Arabidopsis thaliana: one gene and its partner. The protein of the gene in region 1 interacts with the protein of each later gene in a pairwise test. Each region holds a gene or a part of one and is shown in the gene's direction. Other genes may lie near its edges. The genes, in order: CDKC2 and CYCT1;4.

Evidence for each region.
Region 2: the proteins of CDKC2 (region 1) and CYCT1;4 interact in a protein complementation assay, tested with the Arabidopsis thaliana proteins (one study listed by BioGRID).

What each region holds. Positions count from the first base shown.
Region 1 is NC_003076.8:25,953,545-25,959,548, forward strand, and holds CDKC2 (cyclin dependent kinase group C2), read left to right. Parts: upstream 1-1,829; 5' UTR 1,830-1,952; coding exon 1,953-2,065; intron 2,066-2,461; coding exon 2,462-2,543; exon of another isoform or gene 2,544-2,605; coding exon of another isoform or gene 2,606-2,641; coding exon 2,642-2,732; intron 2,733-2,837; coding exon 2,838-2,867; intron 2,868-2,980; coding exon 2,981-3,090; intron 3,091-3,181; coding exon 3,182-3,254; intron 3,255-3,336; coding exon 3,337-3,457; intron 3,458-3,564; coding exon 3,565-3,682; intron 3,683-3,780; coding exon 3,781-3,920; intron 3,921-4,013; coding exon 4,014-4,071; intron 4,072-4,154; coding exon 4,155-4,225; intron 4,226-4,348; coding exon 4,349-4,883; 3' UTR 4,884-5,261; coding exon of another isoform or gene 5,262-5,339; 3' UTR 5,340-5,347; intron 5,348-5,422; downstream 5,423-6,004. Other genes in the region: AT5G64950 (Mitochondrial transcription termination factor family protein), read left to right, coding at 343-1,518; AT5G64970 (Mitochondrial substrate carrier family protein), read right to left, coding at 5,262-5,339, 5,429-5,896, 5,984-6,004.
Region 2 is NC_003075.7:10,670,829-10,677,519, forward strand, and holds CYCT1;4 (Cyclin family protein), read left to right. Parts: upstream 1-1,936; 5' UTR 1,937-2,038; intron 2,039-2,540; 5' UTR 2,541-2,628; intron 2,629-2,770; 5' UTR 2,771-2,790; coding exon 2,791-3,017; intron 3,018-3,471; coding exon 3,472-3,553; intron 3,554-3,943; coding exon 3,944-4,078; intron 4,079-4,314; coding exon 4,315-4,490; intron 4,491-4,578; coding exon 4,579-4,730; intron 4,731-4,850; coding exon 4,851-5,704; 3' UTR 5,705-6,101; downstream 6,102-6,691. Other genes in the region: AT4G19590 (Chaperone DnaJ-domain superfamily protein), read left to right, coding at 338-1,462; AT4G19610 (nucleotide/nucleic acid binding protein), read left to right, coding at 6,654-6,655.

The sequences.
Region 1 (6,004 bases):
ATGGTCAACTAGTCAAACCACCACCACTCTCTCATCTCTGTCTTCTTAAAGTTCGATAATAATTTTTGGAGAGGAGACTCTGGTTGTTCATCAACAGAGTGGTCATGAGCCACATGTATTGCTTGTGTATAGAGAGATTTAGAAATTAGGAACTTTTTCGTATAAATATACTCATTGTACTCAGCTACTCACTAGACTCATCTCTGTTTTAGTAATATTTTGAATACTGTATCTCAAATAAATTAATCTTATCAAATAGAAACCATAGTTGAAAAGTCATGAATGATTCTTAACTGTACAAAATAATAAGCTTTGGTAAAACCCTAAACTTTCGTTTCCAAGATGCAATTTCTAGCTTCTCTCGTTTCCAATTCCAGAAAGTTTGGTCGGAGATGGGATCGAGCTCTCTCGTTGCATCATTTCTCTTCGAATGCGACACCAGCTTCGATATCAAATCCAGCGTTCGTCGAGTTTCTCAGGGACAATGGGTTCCAGAAACCTCTAGCAATTGCCATCGCAATGCGTTACCCTAACCTCAAATCCCTAGAACAACCTCGGTCAGTGATTCAAATGCTTAAAAGTTACAGTTTTTCCGATACCCAGATCCAGAAATCGATCCGGGTCCATCCTCGAATGATGTTCTACAACGTGGAGAAAATTCTAGAACCCAAACTTCGATTCTTTAAAGATATTGGATTTACTGGCTCTGGTCTTGGTAAGTTCGTCTCTCAAAACTCATCAGTCGTTGGTGTAAGTCTAGTGAAGAAATTGATTCCTACCGTTGAGATTCTGAAATCGATTGTTGCCCCAAAACATGAAGACCTTCCTGTCATTCTTAGTAGATGTGGTTGGCTTCTTCTCAGTAGAGACCCTAACTTGTTTCTCTTACCAAACATCTCATACCTTGAAACCTGTGGAATTGTTGGGTCTCAGCTTGCTTCTTTACTTAGAAGACAGCCAAGAATCTTCAATCTCTCTGAGGAAAAACTCAGAGGATATGTCTCTCGTGCTTTGGATCTTGGTTTTACTTTGAACTCGAGGATGCTTGTGCACGCTGTTATCTCGTTAAGTTCTTTGAGCGAGAAAACGTTTGATCGAAAGGTTAAGTTGTTTATGGCTAATGGATTCTCTGAAGATGAGATAACAGATATTATACGAAGATCTCCAGGTTTGATCCGGTGCTCAGAAGATAAGCTTACACTGGGGTTTGAGTTTTACTTGAAGAGAATGGGGTTAGAGAGGGAAGCTTTGGCGAAACGTCCTTGTGTGTTGTCGTATAATCTTGAGAAGAGGGTGATTCCTAGGCTTAAAGTTTTGCAGATCTTGAGGGAAAAAGGGTTGTTGTTAAAAGAGGAGAAGAAGAAGAAGAACATGGTTGGCATTGTTGAGATGACTGAGGAAGCTTTTCTAGAGAAATATGTTGTGAGATTTGGAGATGAGATTGCTGAGGAACTGCTGGTTGCTTACAAGTGCGTGTGTTTAGTCGATGAAACGCTACTTGATCGTATCAAGATCTAATTGTAGATTTCACAAGTCCAAACTTGAAATTTTGTCATTGTATCCAAACTTCGCTCATCCGTAACTGTGTTGAACATTATAATTTGGAAGTAACTCTTAAATCACCCTTTATTACGAGCTTGAAGCTTCTCATATAATAATGGGATTCATATGAAGCGATTCTTTTTCTATTTCAGCACTTGAGCAAAAACTCAAGATTGTCAAAGCGTCTTAAAAATTTGACTCATGAATTTAACCGGTTTGATTTTGGTTCGTTGTAATAACCGGTTTAAACCAGAGATTGATTCCGGATAAAAAAGCTTAGGTTTTTCCGCGAAGCCGACACTGTAAGGTAGGGCTAAAACCTTAGAATAGCCGGAGAGAAGAAGGCGAGAAGAGGAGCGACAAGGGCGAAGCTGCAGAATTCTTCGGTAATTTTCAGATTCGGTTGAATAATGGCGGCTGCGGCTTTTGGGCAGTTAAATCTAGAGGAGCCTCCACCGATTTGGGGATCTCGTAGTGTCGATTGCTTCGAGAAGCTTGAACAGATTGGTGAAGGAACTTACGGGTATTCTTCTCCATTCTTTTTTTTTCTGGGTTTTGTTCCTTGATTCCAATTTATTTGGTTTTGTCAGAGTACTCGTGCTCAAGACTGAAATTTCTCAAATTTGAACGATTTCGCTAGGGCCACTTGATATATAAGTTTTTTTGAAACAATTTTGATTGTGAAACGTTTATATATAGTTATTGATCCATATATTGTTGATTTGAGGAATTTTAACTTTGCCTCTTATCTCAATAAATTCGATTTTGTTGATTGAATTTGGGAATTCTCAGATTCTTGGTATGGTAGATATATATATATATATATATATATATATATATATATATATGTTGCAATAAACTTCTGAAGCTGTCTCTTTTGATGGTGTTTAGATTCATATATTAAAATTTGGTTTTGCAGCCAAGTGTACATGGCTAAAGAAATTAAAACTGGTGAAATCGTGGCTCTGAAAAAGATCCGTATGGACAATGAAAGAGAAGGGGTAAGCTACATTTGAACTACCAGTACTAGCTTTGACAAGTTGCAAATTTTTGTGAGTTTCGTATGACTTATATTTCCGTTTTCATTGTTTGCATGGAGTTTCCGATAACCGCTATCCGGGAGATCAAAATTCTGAAGAAGCTGCATCATGAAAATGTCATCCATTTGAAAGAGATTGTTACTTCTCCAGGTAATAAGGAACTCTTATCTTAGCTTGTAATTGCTTTAGAAATTTTGTCAAAAGGGGTGTTAAGTTTGATATGTAGAGTTTTGTGACTGTTTTTGTCTTTAAAAGGTCGAGATAGGGATGATCAAGGAAAGCCAGGTTAGTGAAACTTATTCAAGATCGAAATATTTTCTGTACAACTTAGATGCGACTATGAGAGATCTATTTAAACTGCTTACGGCCTAAAGCTTGTTGCTTTTCTTCAATTTTAGATAATAACAAATACAAGGGTGGAATCTACATGGTCTTTGAGTACATGGATCATGACTTGACTGGACTTGCTGATCGTCCTGGACTGAGATTTACGGTTCCTCAGATAAAGGTATTGCATGGCTAGACACCTTGTTGTAGTAGCCTTTGCAAAAACCCTTATTGTTCCGACTTTGTCTGACATTTGAACATATGTAAAAAAGTGTTACATGAAGCAACTGCTGACTGGGCTTCACTATTGTCATGTGAATCAAGTGCTTCACCGTGATATAAAAGGTGAATATATCCCAAAATACATTGTTGACCATTTTGTTCTCTTGTCTTTATTTGCTAGTTAACCTATAATATATTGGTGCAGGTTCGAATCTACTTATTGACAATGAGGGAAATTTAAAGCTAGCGGATTTTGGGCTTGCTCGGTCATATTCTCATGATCATACTGGAAACCTCACAAATCGTGTCATCACTTTGTGGTATAGGTATGTATGCCTACAAACTTTGAAGTTATATACAAAAAAGTGACAAAGAATAAGTATTGCTTATACGTGCAGCTTTTTCTCTACTTATGCATTGTTTATTGCTGTAGGCCCCCTGAATTGTTACTTGGTGCAACTAAATATGGACCAGCGATTGACATGTGGTCAGTTGGATGCATATTTGCTGAACTTTTGAATGGAAAACCAATCTTGCCTGGGAAAACTGAGGTCAGGATTTCATCTTATGATTATCGTGGTGTGTGTTATTACAGTGTTCTTTGATGATGTTTCCACTTAGCGTTTTAGTCATATTTTTTTCTTTCCAGAATGAACAATTGAATAAGATTTATGAGCTTTGTGGATCACCTGATGAAAGCAACTGGCCTGGAGTTTCCAAGATGCCTTGGTATAACCAAATGAAATCATCTCGGCCCTTAAAGAGACGCGTAAGGGAGATCTACAGACAGTAAGTATAAACCATTATGTAGTTGCGACTCTTTTATGCAACAGTTACTTTGATCCAGGAGATCTCATTTGGTCCTTTTCTCTTCTGCTATAGCTTTGATCGCCATGCCCTTGAACTACTTGAGAAAATGTTGGTACTTGACCCATCTCAGGTACCAAAGAATTTTTAATACAGAGAATTAAGAGCCTTGGTCTAGACATTTAAGTCCTTTCATTTTCCTGTCTGTTGGTACAGAGAATATGCGCAAAGGATGCTCTTGATGCTGAGTACTTTTGGACTGATCCGCTGCCATGTGATCCAAAGAGGTAATCAAATTCTCTTAACTTTCTTGTTATGAAAACCCATTTGGTTCATCATACATCACAAATGACGATCAAGAACAATTAGTGAGTGATTCAGCTTGTACTGAAACTGTGTTATGTCAACAGTCTACCGACATATGAATCATCACATGAGTTCCAGACAAAGAAAAAACGGCAACAGATGCGTCATAATGAGGAAGCAGCCAAAAAACAGAAACTGCAGCATCCACAGCAGCAACATTCTCGTTTACCTCCACAGCAACACGGTGTTGGCCAGTCTCATGCCGCTCCACTTTGGCCTGCTGGACCAAACCACCCTATGAACAACAACGCACCACCACCCCAAATACCTGCTGGTGGCCATTACTATGGAGGAAAGCCCCGTGGTGGTGCACCTGTTCCAAACCGGTACCCTCCTAGCGGAAACCAGACTGGTGGTTATAATAATCAGAGCCGTGGAGGTTACAGCAGCGGAGCATATCCTCCACAAGGTCGTGGTGCACCATATGGCGCCGGTCCTAGAGGACCTAGCGGTGGCTATGGTGTTGGACCACCCAACTACTCACAAGGTGGTGGTCAGTATGGTGGATCTGGTGGCTCTGGAAGAGGTCAGAACCCTATGGGTGGTGCTAGAAACCAACAATATGGATGGCAACCGTAAAGAGAACTCAAAGAGACTCGTATGGTGTGGTCTTGGCTTGATGTCTTTAAGGCAGTTGTGATTTTAGATATGAAGACTTATCTTCGCGAAAGAGAATCTATTTTCATTTGATTTCTTGTCTTAATGGCATTCTTCCAAACATTCTGTGATTGTTGTATGTTTAAATCAAGGTTTATATATCAGAACACAGGAAACCAAATTGGATTTTTACCCAAATCTTATTATTTCTTGCAAAAAAACGTTTCACAACCTCTTATCTGTTTTCGATGAAGTGTGGAAAAACTACACGAATCAGTGTAAACCCCAAAAAGAAAACGAAAAAACTCTCCTCTGAAGCAGCTCCAGCAGTAATTGTGTCATTTCTCATTGCTTATTGTCTTATGCGGATGATTCTACTTTCAGAACAACTTTCATGAACTCGTAAACAAAGTAACTGATTGCCGCGGAAGGCAAAACCTGCAATAGTGAGATAATTCACAAAGCTGTAAAACCTGCAATAAGCTGGTTCAAGAGATTAATTTATGACTAGTATTAAGGAATCAAACCTGCAATAAGCTGGGAATCAAGCCAGCATATAGAGCAGGAACACCTCCTTGTTCAATGATCTTCACACAAGTAGCCACTGCGCTTAACCTTTTAGCATGTGACTGCATTTGTAAACGCCTTCTCACAACTTCAAACGGATATGTTGCTGCTTCTGAGCAAGCCCCTGCGATTGCTCCATATAACAAAGTTCTCATGGGACCAAGCTCGAGTTGATCGAAAGCATTAAGTTCTTCACCTTCTTGCTTCATGTGTTCAAGCCGTTTCTTACCTTCCGGTGTATGAAGGTAAGCTGATTTTAAAATATCATAGACACCGTAGAACACAGCTCCCGATGGAGCCATACTAACAAGTGAAGGTACAAGACCTTTGTATAGGGAAAAGAAACCTTCAGTTTGAATCATGTGACGGAATGCACCAACTACACCACCTAATGCTTCTCCACCGGGTGCCACCATAACCGTTCTTATCTGCAATTCAAAACCAAAGTAATGCTAAAGAACCTCCAGAGAATGGTAAAAGAAGCTCAATGAAGTTTTTGTTGTGATTCCACTTACAGTATCAAGTGGTAGACAAAG
Region 2 (6,691 bases), on another chromosome or scaffold:
ACTTGGTGATTTGCATGTATGGTTTTGCCTATAATTAAGATGTTACTTACTAGTTTACACGAGATTCTTCTTTTTATGAATTGTTTTTATCCATTCTTCGATTGTTGTTTGTGAAATTGTGATTGATTATGTGTAATTATGTAGTGGCTTTGGATAGAGTAACTTCAGATTCAGAGATCTGTGGCTAAGGACTTGTTTTTCTAACTTAGTGATTTTCATTTACGGTTTTGCTTCTGTTTTTCATCCTTCTTAATCCTTTTTCTTTTGGCTCCTCCAATTGGTTTTCCATAGAGACAAGGTGCAAAATCGTTTGAAGGATTCTTTGTTCAACAAAGATATGGAATGCAACAAGGAGGAAGCTATAAGAGCAATGGATATTGCTAAGAGGAAAGTTGCAGAGAATGATTACAACGGGGCTAAGCTTTTTGCTAACAAGGCTCAGGATTTGTATCCGAAACTTGATGGTTTAAGACAAGTGATGATGTTGATCGATGTGTATATCTCAGCAGGAAATACAATTAGTGGAGGAGAATCTGATTGGTATGGAATTCTTGGTGTTGATCCTTTGGCTGATGAGGAAGTAGTGAAGAAACAGTATAAGAGGCTAGCTCTTTTGCTTCATCCTGACAAGAACAATTGTGAAGGCGCAGAGGGTGCGTTTAAGCTTGTGTTAGCTGCTTGGTGTTTGTTATCTGATAAGGTTAAGAGAATTGCTTATGATCAGAAGAGGAAGTTGAACGAAGTTAAACCGAAAAGGAGTCGAAAGCAGAAACAACCTCCAAAGAAACCACCAAATCAGCCGAAACAACAACCAAATCAGCAGAAACAACCACCAGATCAGCAGAAGCAGCCACCAAATCAGCCTAGACAGCCACCAAACCAGCAGAAGCAACCACAAAACGAGCCGAAACAACCACCAAACCAGCCTAAACAACCACCAAATCAAGCAAGTACTAATGGTAGAGCTAGAAGCAAAAAGCCCACTTCCAAAGTTTCTATCTTTTGGACAATGTGCAACAAATGCGAGACACAATATGAGTATGTGAGGGTTTATTATCTTAACAAGACCGTACTTTGCCGAAATTGCCGTGGGAATTTTAAGGCAACTGAGATAGAGAAAACACCAACTGAGAAGGAAAAAACACCAACTGAGAAAGAGGAAACACCACAAGCAACAAACAAGAACACAAATGGTGCTTCGTCTTCTTGTGATAGAGATTCTTCACTAAATGTTAATTTTGATTCTAGTTTTCGACGGGATTCTTCTTTATCAAGAATGAGTTACTTTAACAGTGGAAATGTGGCAAATCAAGCAGAAGAAAGAGGGAAAAGAGAGGTAAGGGAGTCAGAAGAAGAAGCTGGTAGAGGAATTGCAAACTCTGATTTGAAAGTAGAAGAGAGAGTTTTTAAGAAGCTGAGGACAGATAACTATGCAGAGTCAAGTAGTGAAATCAAGGTGTGAAGTAAGCTGAGGACAGATAATTAGAAGTTTAACAGTGAAGTAGGAACTATGACATTTAGAAGTTTAACAATCAATGATTTTATGATTATGATATTTGAATATTTTGCATCTAGACTAGGATCTTGTACAGTGGAACCAGGTTAGTTCTTCTTCCTGTCATCTTCAATGTTGAATCTGAAATGTCAAAGCTTTATTTTATTTTTGTTAACAATGTGTGCTTTAACAACGTGAGTCAAATTAATCAAAGTGGGTTCACTTAAATTGTTGGAAGAAATTTTACTTCCACTAACTAAATATTTCCTTCTTCGGTCCCTTCATTCTCAAAAGTTTTTACTTTTGTCCCCAAATATTTTAACGGAGAAGATTTAGTCTCCTACTTCGGGTCATCATATATCACTTGAAAATCGGGATATTCGTTAAAAATCCCCCTTTTTTTTTTTTCTTTTCTTGCTTCCTCCCTTTTTTTTTTTTTTTGTTCTTTCCTTTCTCGCGTTTCTTCTCCTAGGGTTAGGGTTCGACGAACGCAGCTGTTCCACGCGTTTAGTTTCAATTCTCCATCGAAGAAGCCATAATCCGGTGCGTAATCATCGTTTTTGTTATATGTTTCCGATTAGGTGTATTATTTTCCGTTTGTTTTCTCGGGTTTGGTAGTTTCACGAACTTTTGCATCTCTCAGATCTATTGTACGTTTTTTCCTTCGTTTGTGACGGATTTTTCTGTGAAAAGAGTTTAAATTTCCATGGAGAATTACTCGATTATCTCTAATTTAACTCTTTGGCAATCAAATTTTTCGATTTTATTGTTTTTTTCTGGATGCGTGAGCTTAGTTATGAACAAGGAGGGTCAACTCGTTTACATGATTCTCTATTCACAGTATTTTCGTGGGAAAGGAGCAATTATGTTTTTGTTTTCATGATTCATGTCTTTATGTTGCATATTTTGGCCCCTTTTACTCTCATTTAGACTATGTGGTGTTTGTTTTGATGCCATTGTTTTGATTTTCCATCAATTAGTAATTTTTTCAGTCCGAATTTCAATTCTTCGTCATTGACCTTGTTGATGATTCCTGTGCTTTCAGATTCCTAAAGAGCTTACATTTGTTACTCAACTTTAAAGTTTTGACGCTAGAGATTACTATCCTCTTGCTGGGAACTCAACGTGACCAGGTATAAATCTCAGCTCATAGATAAGCAAAGTAGTTTTTTTCTACATCTCTTAGATTTGTACCCTTTTTAGCTCACAGTATCAGTTCAATAACCAAGCTGATCCCTCTTATGAACTTACATTCATTGGTTCTGTTTTTGCTAGACTGTGTTTGAAAGATAGCAATGGCTGGAGTATTAGCTGGGGATTGTTCATTCGGTGAGAGTGGTGTTTCATCTTACTCCAGGAATTCCAATGAAAAGCAGGACGAGGTTGCCCGCTGGTATTTTGGAAGAAAAGAAATTGAAGAAAATTCACCTTCAAGGTTGGATAGTATTGACTTAAAGAAGGAAACATACCTCCGCAAGTCATACTGTACATTTTTGCAGGATTTAGGCATGAGATTAAAAGTGTAAGTATAAATTTCTGACCTATATATTTCAGCTTTATACATTGCATTTTCCATTTGATTACTTCTTGCGAGCTTGGTCTAGGACATGCTAGTTTCTCCTACCATGATAATTGCCTCTATTTTGCTTATAGTATTATAGTGAATTCTTGATCCCCTTACATTAGGTTCTGTAGGATCGAATTTTGAAATTTATAGAACTTGATATCGTAGAGGTCATTAGAGCATGAATAAGCTAGTCAGAGTTATTGCCTTATTGGCAACAAAAAGGTGAAACTTGTGGGTTCATCTTGTGTTGTATGGCCCAATAGTCCTTTAATGGCTTTCTGAAATTTAGTATATAGTGATGAACACAATACTCTGAATTTATCTTCATATTGACATGGTTTCATTTGCACTGATAGCTTTCACTTTTGGCTCTCTCAATGAACGCGGCTAATATATTTTTCTAATACAGTCCTCAGGTTACAATAGCTACCGCAATTATCTTCTGTCATCGATTCTTCATTCGCCAGTCACATGCTAGGAATGACAGAAGGGTGAGTATATATTCTTTGCACATGGCGTTGTGAATACTTATATACATGGGCCTACTGTTTGTTGTTCGAGCCAGTCTGCTGCTATCTTTGTTTGCATGTATTTGAAGCATTAAATGGCTCCTTTTCCTTGCGTCCGCTTATATTCATTGTCTCCATGTCTCTGCCAGTTTCCTTTGTATATATATAGAGAGAGCAAATCGGCTGATGCATTAGATGAATATACACTGACTTCTCGCGAATATTCCTGCCATGAATATTAAGCGTTCTCTTAGTCTATTTGGTTAATGCATCTAGTTCTTTGTCCATATTTATCCTTCTAGAAACTAGCGCAGAACAGTATTAAGATTATTACTGAGTCCTTTTTCCATGTTGTCCTCCCTCCTCACCCAGACGATTGCTACAGTCTGCATGTTCCTTGCGGGAAAAGTGGAAGAAACTCCTAGGCCGTTAAAAGATGTTATTGTTGTCTCCTATGAGATAATACACAAGAAGGATCCTACTACTGCACAGAAAATCAAGCAAAAGGTCTGAATATTCTAAACTTTCTCTAATCCGGTTTCCTGTTTAGTAATAAGCGAATTTGCACTGTTTCTCGCATATTCTATTTTACTATGACATAAGTTTTCTACTAAACCCAGGATTGCACTTGTTTGTGAACAATCCTCCTATGATCATTGTCCTTGTCGTTGGATCTCTCATCTGTGCTGGTCACCGTCTCTATTATTTCTCTTCTTTGTACTGAACGTATTTCACTTTTGCAGGAAGTATATGAGCAACAAAAAGAGCTTATACTAAATGGAGAAAAGATTGTACTTTCTACGCTGGGATTTGACTTCAATGTTTATCATCCTTATAAGCCTCTTGTAGAAGCGATAAAGAAATTTAAGGTCGCACAGAATGCTCTGGCCCAAGTTGCATGGAATTTTGTTAACGATGGGTACGTTAAAAGTCTGTTTCCTTGAAAGCTTCAGATAGATCTATCTGTCTTGTATTTTCTTCTTCATACAATGAAAAGATGCTTGCAGTCTGCGGACGTCACTCTGCCTGCAATTTAAGCCTCACCACATTGCGGCGGGAGCAATTTTTCTTGCTGCGAAGTTCCTTAAAGTGAAATTACCATCAGATGGAGAGAAGGTCTGGTGGCAAGAATTTGATGTCACACCTCGACAACTAGAGGGTGAGAGAACTATCTTTATCTTTGAATTAATTTTATGAAACTGTTTCCACTTTTTCTGTTTGACTTGTATGCCTTATTTTGCATCTGATGCTAAGAGCTACTCCCTTATGTATACTGCAGATGTTAGCAACCAAATGCTTGAGCTCTATGAGCAAAACCGTGTTCCTGCATCTCAAGTAAGCGAAGTCGAAAGTAGTGTAGGTGGAGGATCAGCTCATCATGTTGGGTCTAGGCCATCAGCACGTCTAACTCATGAACATTCAAATTCTGATAATCTCGGGGGCTCGACAAAAGCTACACAAAACCGGAGCAATGATAATGGGAGTGGTGAGGCAGGTAGTGTCATCACCGAGCAGAAGGGGGAAAGAGATACAGAAACGAAAGATAGCATGCATACTGAAAGTCATCCAGCCCATAAGTCTAGATCGGGAGTTGAGGCACCTGGGGAGGATAAAATAGAGAAAGCAGGTGCACATTTTCCAGAAGATGATAAATCTAGAATTGTTGGTACAGCTGATGTCACGGTCAGCCAATCCCCAAAAGACATAAAAATGTTTAGAGATAAGGTGAAGGCCAAACTAGAGGCGAAGAAGGTCCAAGGTGAAAAGACGAGAAAGAAGGATTTGGTGGATGAGGATGATTTGATAGAAAGAGAACTGGAAGACGTGGAATTAGCTGTTGAGGATGACAAAGATATACAAAACAAAAGCTCCATGGGTACAGAACATGGCGAGATTCTTGATGGAAACAACTTGGTGGTCAATACCGAGGAAGGTGAAATGATAGATGATGTTTCTTCAACAATGCCTAGCCGGAAGAGAAAAATGGAAAGTCCTTGTGAAAAACAGTTAGGAGAAGGAAAGAGACGACACGACAACAGTGAGAATGTGGAAGAAGGTCAGAAGACAAACCCAGGAGGAAGTAGTCATAGTTATGGTGACAGAGAGCCAAGAAGACACTCCCAAGAGAGGTAGATGATCAAAACCTTCTCATGGTCTATTAGAGACATTTCCCAACCATGATGCGAAATGAGTCCACTGTATTTACAATGTTGGTTATCTTTTCATTTTCCTTGGCACTTGTATTCAACAGTTGAGAAACTAAATCAGGTTTCCATCCATCCCATAGGATTTAGGGTCTCTATAATTTTGATCTTTGTTAGCATTCCCTTTTGTATATCGGGGGAATAAAAAAGAATTTTGACGAATTTATTTAGAGCCAAGACAATATTAGTGTTTTGTCATTCATTGCCGAAGGATGTTTTGATAATAACAATATGAAACAGAGTGGTCAATTGATTTGTCAATGTGTAGTTGTTTTTGTAAGGTTTGTTTTATGTTAAGTCCACTCGTAACCTTGTTCCCATTGTCATTATACTGCTTTTCGTATGTATCGGTTAGCTTGGTGACCAATCCGGTTAACCACAAAATCAGGCGGAATAGTTGTCAAATTAAAGAGCAAAAAAGACTCATGAAAAAGAGCTGTAGGGGTTTTCATTTTTTCAATTCGTTTTCAAAATTTTCAGGTTTAAAAATAAATACAGGTCTGAATTAATTCGCTCGGTTTGAATTTTCGGGTTTAGTCCAGTGTGATTTAGTCGGTTAAGTTGCTCAAAATTTTGGATTTGGTTCGGTTTATTCATTATCAAACACAAAAACACAAAAAAAGCCAACCTAAAGAAGGAACAACAAAAGACCTAAAAACCCTCTCGTCTTCTCTTCTTCTTCTTCTTCTTCTCCTTGCTCTCTCTTGTCGTCGGCGGCAGATTATTCAATCGTTAGGCTATCGTTCCGACACTCTACAGTCATTACAAACATTTCAATACAACAAAAACTCATCCTTTTCTTCTCTTATTAACCATAATTTCGGATTCCCTTTCTAAGTATACAGCTTTCCCAGAACGAGCTCTTGCAAAGCCAAAGAATGTAAGTATTTGTTTCTTTAGGGTTTTAGCGAATTCA